2 linked regions of the Arabidopsis thaliana genome follow. The protein of the gene in region 2 interacts with the protein of the main gene of each other region in a pairwise test. Each region holds a gene or a part of one and is shown on either strand. Other genes may lie near its edges.

Region 1 (4,841 bases), on a different chromosome or scaffold from region 2:
AGGGTTGGTGGAAAAAGCAGTGTCCCAGGCCAAGCTTTTGCGATGGTTCCATTTGCTCTCTTTGTGTGCCATCGGCTGCACAAAGTCAATCTTTACTCTTGCTGCTGCACAAAGTATAATCAGTTTCTGAAGACTAAAGAGATTTTAGATAGGAGAGGAAACAGAGGAAGATGATTCTACTTGATGATGAACCAGCTTCTTGAAATTCCATAGCCTGTTCTTGATTTTGAAAAATAGAATTTTCAAATTGGAAAAACAACAGCCTTTATTAAGAGAATTTATGGAGAGACAAAATTTTGAAATTTGTAAGTTTTCGTGATTTAAGCATTTGATTACTCTCTCAAAGCTTTTCAATTCAAAGCAAAATTAATTGCTGCCTTTACTTTGTGATTTTGTAAGTGTAGTATTTGATACAGATCAACTGACTTAAAATGTAATTGTCTATACCCAAAACAAAGGTACTGTACAAATTTAATTTAAGGATTTTGTATTAAATGAGAATAAATTAGCTATGAAATTCCGAAAGTGAATCGAAAATAACAACAGGATGTGGACAAATTTTTCCTTCATTCAAGTGTTCTCAACATCTAACAGAGAAATCTTTAAATACAACCAACTAAACCGGAAACAATAAACCAAACGTTCAAACTAACATAACCGAAATTGAGAGTAAACCCGAAATAGTTGTCGATCAGCTCAACTATAAACAACTCACTGATCTCTAATTTCCCCTGCACCGTTTTAGAGAATTTCACGTTAGACAAACAATTTTGAAACTAGCCATAGTTCATTCACACAGCAAAATATAACATGATCAGCAAGTTTACAAGGCATGTCCTACTATCATCAGTTGTAACGAAGTGAAGATTGGATATGAACCTACATGCATATAGACTATGCTCTTCATTTGTGTACATGAGGCCGTGTGATAGAGAGAAGAATTACTTGATCATTTGGCGATTGTTCTTAATCACTACTTGCAACTTCTTTTACCAGCTCTGTGATTGAATCAAAATGATGAAGTCAGAGCTAAGTACAATATAGGCTGTATAGCATTGGTATCATCTATACTTGTCAAAATCATACCGGCATTTCTTCACCAGAAACACCGCCACCAGCATCTCTATTTGATCCATCTCCACTCTTTCCTGATCCCTTATTATCACCCTATCATAATTTCACAACAAAACGTAAGAAGCCAATGGGCAACACTGGAATGGAATATAAAGTAGAAATAAGTATGTGGTTTATTTACCTCCAACTGCATCAGCAGGTGGTGTGTCAGCAACCAATCCCAGGGAATGAAAAGAACCGAATTAGTCTCAACTTAATAAGAAACATTTTGATTTTATTATGTATGTTAACAACAAAAGCACAAAAGAGAGAGTAATAAATGTCTTTCAAAATTTACTAATATGCATCCTGACTGTTGGTCTAGATTTATCTTTCTTGCTTCAAAAATTCTACACAAGACGTATTGAAGGGATTGTAAAACTGCTATCATGGCAAGCTTCGATGTTACTCACAGCTACTAATCTCTTGACTAGGATATTAAGGATTTCAGAACACATGATTAGGGAGTCAAAGCAACATACCTCCCTGTACCTCGCTAGGTATATCTTTAGAGGTTCCAGGTAATCCTCAAATCCTAATGTTGCCATTGCCCACAACAAATCATCACCATTCACAGTTTTCCTTTTCTCTTTTTGACACTTATCACTGGCCCTGATTAGCAGAAACAGATACCAGTCAATTGGCCATTACAGTCAACGAATCAACATAAGACCAGCAAAAGAGACTTAAGCGCAACATCAGACAAGCTTATCTTGAACCAATAGATAAATCATAGTTTCATACATGATAACTTATTTCTTCCTAACAAAGAACGGGGGCATCTGATGTTATAAGAAACATAAAACTCATCAATCAGAGACCTAAAACGCATTCAACACAAGCAATTCCTTCATGATGAAAAACATATCTTTTGCCTTAAATGAACAAAAAGGAACAAAAACAAACAGATCCTAAAGATAAAAGAATCTTTGAAACATGATCAAGATACGGCTTTTATACCCTAAGATGGTTAAATGAAGAAAAAAATCTAACAATTTATTTGACAGAGTTAAGATATAACACAGTAGAAGCATGTGAAATAATCTGCAAAATGGTCTATAGGAAAGGAACTAGGTTAAGGTAAACCCATACCAAACAATGGTTGATTAACATTGTGACAAAAAAAAAAACATAATCTTTGCTCTATAAACTTCAAAAAACTCTCTGAGCTAAACTCAATCCATAGCTAGTTTAAGAAAACTATCTCTCACAAACCCAAAGTTCCAACAAATGATCAATTTTTTTCACCAAAGAGCAAAATATTTTCCAACAAATTCGATTGAAAGAAGAAAAATTGGGAATGCATACTCGCTAGTGATGAAGCTGATGAACTCAGAGACGCATTCCTGAACTGTATCCTTAGCATCTTTTCCAATCTTACCATTAGGAGGCAACGCTTTCTTCATGATCCTGCTGATATTAGCTATAGGAAGGTATCGATCCTGCTCCCTAACGGAACCGCCGCTTTCTCCGCCATCTCCAGCTGGGCTCGAAGGCGTATCCGCCATTTATACTCTACAGAAACAGAACAAACACTCAATTTGAAACCTAAACATGGTCGATGAAGCTAAAGTAAACAACAAAAAAGGAAATCGAAAATGGCGTACAGATTGGGGAAGATGGAAACCCTAGAACTTGGAATTGGGGATAGTCGTTTTAGTTTTAGGGCTTTAGAGAAATCGAATTTTTCTACGAAACGCTGCGACTGGTGTTTATATGATATGATTACACGTTTTTTTGTATTTGTTCTGTATTAGCTTTTGTAAAAGTTTTCAGACAAGGATTAATTTGGTAATTAATTAGACAATTTAAGAAAACTATATGAACAATTTGACTAAGGGTGACTTTTTCAATCTATTGTATAATAATTAGATGAGAATTTAAACATAAATTCATTTAATTTTTCAATGAATTATCTACGTAAATAAATCATAGAAAATTAAGATACTCTAATAACAATACCAACGACAATGTGGATTCAAAGTGCCTAAAGAACAAATTCTTTTACTTATGTAAAAAATCCTAAACTTTAAAGAACAAAAATTAAAATACAAAGATAAGTAATTAACATTTTATTGGGCTTCTAACTGGATTTGGTTCTATTTATTTGGGCCTACGTTTGAAAACCTCGGTCTTAAAGAATTTGTGTCCAGCTCCAGCACAAGGAGAGGCTTATAGACCATATGTCTTTTGGTGTCTGTTTCAATGGGCTTACATGTTTTGTTTTCAGGCGGCCTCGTCTTCTTGACACACACAAGTTTGTAACATTGGGCAGTGTGAAACATACACAAAACTAAACACTAATTAATTCTCAACCACAAATATTTAAGTGTGATGGTGACTTGGTCTCATATAATATGTGATTTTGTAATTTTGTTCGAAACCCGCATATAGAGTTGTTACCAATTAATACCTAAATCTTTATTCCGGATACGTGCTTTTACCAATCTTAAACAGACCAAAAGAAAAACTATGACTAAGTTGAACTGTATATACGTGTTTTAAACTGTATATACATATCAAATTGAATATTAACTATATGACAAGATTATCAAACGGGAACAAAAAAAAAACTATATGACTAAGTTGTGATGTTGTTTGTCAAATTTTATGTACGTCAACAATTCAACATAATTGACATTATCGTTGTTTGTGTGTGTGACAACAATTGATTATAGTATTTTTATACATGAATTTTATGAAGGACAGTTTGGTCATTTTTGTCGGCTAAGTGCCAAATTTGGCAGAAGCGTTTTTTTGCATGCAAACAGAATTCAGTCGACGCTAGAAATATTTTTCACCTTCGTTTGTTTTTCAAATTTCGACATTATCTTAGCCTTAGAAACCTTATCTTGTTCTCGATAAGGTTTGAACATCGTGATATAAATATGTACATTTCAAAGCTTTATAAAACAAAATCAGAAGTGTCAAAGCTTTTACCAAACAAATTAATAATGTCAACGAAGGGGCTATTAAAAGCTGGTTTCGTCAAAGTTTGACTTTTGAATCTGCAACCTCACCGACGACACCGACACCAAGACGTAACGTACGTATCCGATTCTATAAATGGGACTCAAATCTCTAAAGGTGAGCATACAAATACATCAGAAGACTACATAAATATATACAAGAGTGAAGAAAAATGTCGACCGAATGTCCTAGTAAGTTTTTGTATTTGTATTGTATAGTTCATAATTAAAGTTTTATATGTTTGTAAATAGTTAGCTAATGTTCAATTAGATATGGATTCAAGGCATTTAAAATTGTAATTCAATAGCTATAACATATATGATTACATTTTCTAAAGTCTGTTAGAAGGTTAATTATGTTACATATGGTCAATCCATGGTGATGTTTCTAGTTCTTTTGTTTTCATTTACTCAAATATGAGCTTCTTGATCTCCAAAATCCCAAACGTAAATGATTGACCGATCTAACGTAACGTGATCGCAGGGAAGAACTCGTGGCCGGAGCTTACGGGAACAAATGGTGACTATGCGGCCGTGGTGATAGAGAGAGAGAACCCCACCGTCAATGCTGCCGTGATTTTGGATGGGAGTCCGGTGACCGCAGACTTCAGGTGCGACCGGGTCAGAGTTTTTGTTGATGGAAACCGTATCGTCGTCAAAACCCCCAAATCCGGCTAGACTTGTATAATTTCTATATTCATAATGAAAAAGCTATAGACGAGTCGTGGTTGGTTAGTAATCAATCATGTAAAATAATAA
Region 2 (4,744 bases):
GGATTGCCGCAGAAAGGAAAACGAATGGGGATTCCAAGTGGTTCACATTTATTAAGATATGAATCCGAGTAGGATGAAGGACATTTTTGAGGGTTCAAGGCGTTTCGGAGAGGTAAGATAAAGATGGAGAGGAGAAATACAGAGAAGAGAATTCTTGATTGAGGGAATTGTTAAACGAAAAATTTAATAGAGAATTGGTCTATTCTTATAGTCACTAAGAGGAAAGTCAGAGAATTAGTTGTCTTTTAAGAAGAATTGTCACCTGCATCGGATCCCACGTCTGCAGAGCTATATGACATTCAAGCATAAACATTATACAACATCCACTACATGTATTATACACTAGAATAAACTGATTGTGGAATTTCGCCTGTGAGTAACTCTTTAAGTAGGGAGATTTATACCTTCTGAATTGGCCAACACAGCCAGAACCACCAAAGAAACAGCAACGAAGAACCACAGCCGCAGATCCGCTCGCCATCTGCGAACTGGACTTGGAAAACTTTGATTAACAGCCATAAGTCAGGGTTTTTAAAACAAAGAGTATCAAGGCGTATTAGCTTGTGAGACTTCAAAATGCTTGGATAGACATGTATATACTGTCAACAGAATATGGTTTTCTAGAAGGTTACAATCTTTTTTAAACTAGATAAGATTCCAAGGTACATAAAAGGGCCAGATAAGGCAATAAAACAGAAGGGCGGCCAGATGAAACGAGACCGGTCTGTACATTTATGAGGCAGTGGAAGTAAAAAAAGTAACTAAGTTTGTAGCTAAAAGGAAGCCTATGTGAAGAGACTTAAGGTTAAGGGTAAGGAGCTTCACTAGCTTTCACAAATCTGCCTCTGACACGCAACCTAGTGTCAGCTCTTGCCTTCCTCGATTCATACCTTATGGTCTTATCATATCTGTTGGCACCCGAGATCCAAGACAAAGGGAGAAACGAAATATGGTATCAGATTCTTTAAGGGAGATGGGCAATAAAAAATTATTAAAGGGGAAAGAAAAAAGCAGCATTTACCTCCGTGTCTTCCTCTTTTCCTTGTAACGCTGCATTGCATCTCCTCTGTTCTGAGCCAGCCGCTCCAGATCAGCCTTAGTTGCAACTAGTCTTGTGGTCTTACAACTAGTTCCAGCAATATGCTCTGTGAAATGCAAGTCACTGGAGGAGTTCGAACCTTTCTCAGAGCCAAAGGTAATTGGACGATTGTTGCTCTCAGATTTTGTTGGTTGTACCTGGCCTGAAGTTGATCGCTTGTAGTCATCCTGCAAAAGAATCCTAATCAGCATCACAGTTAAGTTGCATAGCAGTCTAGCAAATATATATCATAAGCCAAAATGTTAGAATTGGTGGCTTGGTGATGAGGTAAAACAAAGAAAAGCAAACCAGCTTGTAACTTTTTTCTGACTAGGTTTCATGTTCTGAATTCTATCATTCACTAAAAGAAGCAACTGTCTACAACAATTTTTGAGGATGAACGGGAGATGACAACGTATTGTGTTTTAAACACTACTCTACTTAAATGACTAAGGTTAATGAGAACTATTACCTTTTTAATCTCTTTGACACCTTTCACATTAGTGGAACAAGTTTCATTCATATGGTCAACAAAATTGTTGATTGTGAATGAAGAAGCAGCACCTTTCCCTACATATGCAGCTTCCACTCGACTCGTATCCTCAGGTCCCCGTGACTGTCCCAAGTTAAAATCCCATATCTGTATACAAGTTCACAACACAGGTTAAGAAACCTTTCATTTTTTTATCTTCTTGAGAAACCATAAAACCACACAGAGTGACTATATTTGACCTTACACAAAAACATTTCACCACTTAATCTCACTTGCTCATTAACAGAAAAAACTAAACTGTTCTTAGCCAAAAAAATCAAAAGAGAGATAAGCAAAACCTGAGAACTCTGGCCACCACTAGGATTAGTAGTAGTAGCATTCCACTGCTGGTTAACTCCTCCTCCTCCGCCACCATTGATCTCCTCAACATCTCTTGACCATTTCAATCTCTCTGACATCTCCGGAACCATAAGCCCCTCTCCTGCTTCTCCATCTCCATCTCCATCACAAGCACCCTCACGGTCACAATCACGGTCACGATCACCATCATCGCCATCACCACCGACAACACCACTCTTAAGCAACTCCTCAAGCTGCTTACACAATACCTGCTTATACCTCCCACAACTAGATCCACAAGATCCACGCTTCTTAAACGTCGTATCGCTGGGAACAATCAATTCATTAGATCCCAAAACCCAAGAATCCAACTGCATCCCGAAATTATCCATCATCATCGCCATCATCGGAACTTGATTCTCTTCATCTTTCCTCCCTTGCTCCAAATCAAGTCCCCATAAAGCAGCAAGCTCCAACGCCGATGGACAACCGGAAAAACCTTCCACGGCGGATCGAACATGAGCATCGGAAACTGAACAACTTCCGTGAACATCCCAATCACACTCCTGACACAAAATCAGATTATCGGTGAAACACCGAACAGAGACTGGCTCGTTACCGCAATTATCGCAGATCTGAGATCGCACGTGCTTCCTCGACAACAGATTCGCCGTGTGAACTTGCTGATCACAAGGCAAACACAGCTTCGCCGTATCGGCTCTACAAAACAAAACCGCCGTACGCTCGCCGCAGAAATCGCACGGTACTCTCTCCGAACTACTCATAACTGACTCTCTCTCAAAATCCCTAAAATTCGAAATCAAAATCAGAATTTATTTTCAGAGACTAAGGACGGTGAGAAGAATGATGACAAATCCATTTCTCACGTTTTTCATTTTGAACTCTTTTTTTTTTTGGGGGGCTTTGTCAAAATTATCTGCAAATCTTTTGGAATGAAGAAGACAACGAAGCTAATTATTGTAAACAGTTTGGGGTTAGGGATTTGTTTTTCTGTGTTGCGATGTATGGAACTTGTGTATGATGGATTGTTCAGATTGAGATATGTTGAGATCTGACGGTGTAAAAGCGTGCTGAGAGAGTCGCCATTGTTCAGACGGCGAAGCTTACGTTGACTGTGACAGAGAATCTAAGAGAAAATATCTAATCTGCTTTTTCACCTAAATATCTATTTTAACGTATAAAGGGAAAGTTAGTTCAAAGCACATGATTTTTATGGGATTAATTCTTTCCGTATATAGCAATAACTTTTTGATCAGTGTAATAACGGCTGGAATCGTCTTTTTCTGGAACTAGTATTTACGAACATTGCAGCGTAATGTATAGCATATATTTATGTGCATAATAAACTGCTACACACGAGTTCTTGACAAAAGATGTGATAAAATTAAAATCGTAAAGATATTTTAGGATTCATGTTAGATATTTTCTTTTTGTCCATAGACTTCAATAAGTTGTTTTTTTTTGTTTTGAAAAAAAGTATAACTTATTTGTAAAGTGCTATCATTCTGAGGTATAAATATCTTGAAAAAGTTCCTGGGGAGTGGTAACAATCGGAACGATTCTTGACTAACGCATTAAATTTCACGTGTTAGAGAGTTTGTGATTCAGACTATACATAATACAGTATATGAGCGGGTTTTTTCTTTTTTGAGTCAAAGCGGAATATATGCGTTATATACTTCTATATTTGAATTCTTGAGTTTTGATCGAATGTTTAATTTGTGGTCAACTTGTGGAAATCTCTTGGCAAAGAAATCTTATTTATCCAAAAAATAGTTGGTATGAAAACTCTTGGCAAAGAAATCTTGTTTATTCCAAAAATAGTTGGTATGAAGAGTTTGGATTTCTGCTTGTAAGAAAACTGCGACCTGACATCAAATATTTTTCTTTTTAAAGATAAATAGCTTGAATTTTCATATATCTCTATAGAAGATGAATCGTCGATTTTTTTTTTTTTAAGTAAAAGATGATATAAAAGCCCATTAGACTCAAAATTGAAGAACTATCTCAAGAAGGAACTCAAAAATGGGCTTCAGCCCATAAGGGAAGCTTGTAGTCCGGTGATTGGATTATATATCTTCCGGATCCGGTATCGTTTCGCTCCCTTTAGGATTTTTCCGGAAGGAACAAAAATCTGATTCAGAACTTGGTTTCGCTGGTCGTTTTGGTTCTAATCTGAATCGCTGGTTTATTCCGGTTGTGAATTTTCGTATATTTATAGGACCGGCGAATCAGAAGCAAATTGTTGTTAGGAATAAACCCTAAATTCTGCCATGGATAAGGAGAGATATTCCAGGAGCCACCGTGACGATCGTGATCGAGATTCGAGTCCCGACCATTCTCCACAACGTGAAGGAGGACGCCGCCGTGACCGCGATGTTGATTCGAAGCGTCGTGATTCAGATCACTACCGTTCATCGAGGCGCGGCGATAGGGAAGATGAGAGAGATAGGACCAAGGATAGAAGAGGGAGATCTGTAGAGCGAGGCGAGAGAGAAGGGAGTAGAGATAGGGAAAAGCATCACCATGAGAGGTCTCACGAAGGTAGTAAAGAGAAGGAATCGAGGAGCAAGAGGAAAGATAGAGAGGAAGAGAATGGGGCTAGGGATGGGAAGAAGAAATCTAGGTTTGCTGATGGGAATGGTGAGAGGAGGAGCAGGTTTGAGGATGTGGCTATTGAAGTTGAGAACAAAGATGCTCAAGTCTCTGAGGGTTCTGGGGCTACGAATCCAACCAGTGGCGTTACGATGGTGAGTTCTTTATACCTTTTCGTTAATCTTCTTTGTTTGCTACTTGCGATTTGTTCATGATTA

What was found. Proteins that work in one complex are often made in the same cells at the same time.
Region 1: the proteins of BBX13 (region 2) and NF-YB1 interact in a two-hybrid assay, tested with the Arabidopsis thaliana proteins (one study listed by BioGRID).

Annotation. Positions count from the first base shown.
Region 1 is NC_003071.7:16,236,465-16,241,305, reverse strand, and holds NF-YB1 (nuclear factor Y, subunit B1), read right to left. Parts: upstream 2,815-4,841; 5' UTR 2,721-2,814; intron 2,629-2,720; 5' UTR 2,622-2,628; coding exon 2,422-2,621; intron 1,726-2,421; coding exon 1,592-1,725; coding exon of another isoform or gene 1,464-1,591; exon of another isoform or gene 1,327-1,463; coding exon 1,256-1,326; intron 1,168-1,255; coding exon 1,087-1,167; coding exon of another isoform or gene 1,081-1,086; exon of another isoform or gene 999-1,080; coding exon 990-998; 3' UTR 946-989; exon of another isoform or gene 732-945; 3' UTR 525-731; downstream 1-524. Other genes in the region: AT2G38890 (uncharacterized protein), read right to left, coding at 1-101, 181-211; AT2G38870 (Serine protease inhibitor, potato inhibitor I-type family protein), read left to right, coding at 4,256-4,274, 4,567-4,760. UniProt on the Arabidopsis thaliana protein: Component of the NF-Y/HAP transcription factor complex. The NF-Y complex stimulates the transcription of various genes by recognizing and binding to a CCAAT motif in promoters.
Region 2 is NC_003070.9:9,774,963-9,779,706, forward strand, and holds BBX13 (B-box type zinc finger protein with CCT domain-containing protein), read right to left. Parts: upstream 3,082-4,744; 5' UTR 2,696-3,081; coding exon 1,910-2,695; intron 1,719-1,909; coding exon 1,551-1,718; intron 1,267-1,550; coding exon 1,022-1,266; intron 909-1,021; coding exon 806-908; 3' UTR 560-805; downstream 1-559. Other genes in the region: AT1G28060 (Pre-mRNA-splicing factor 3), read left to right, coding at 4,205-4,681.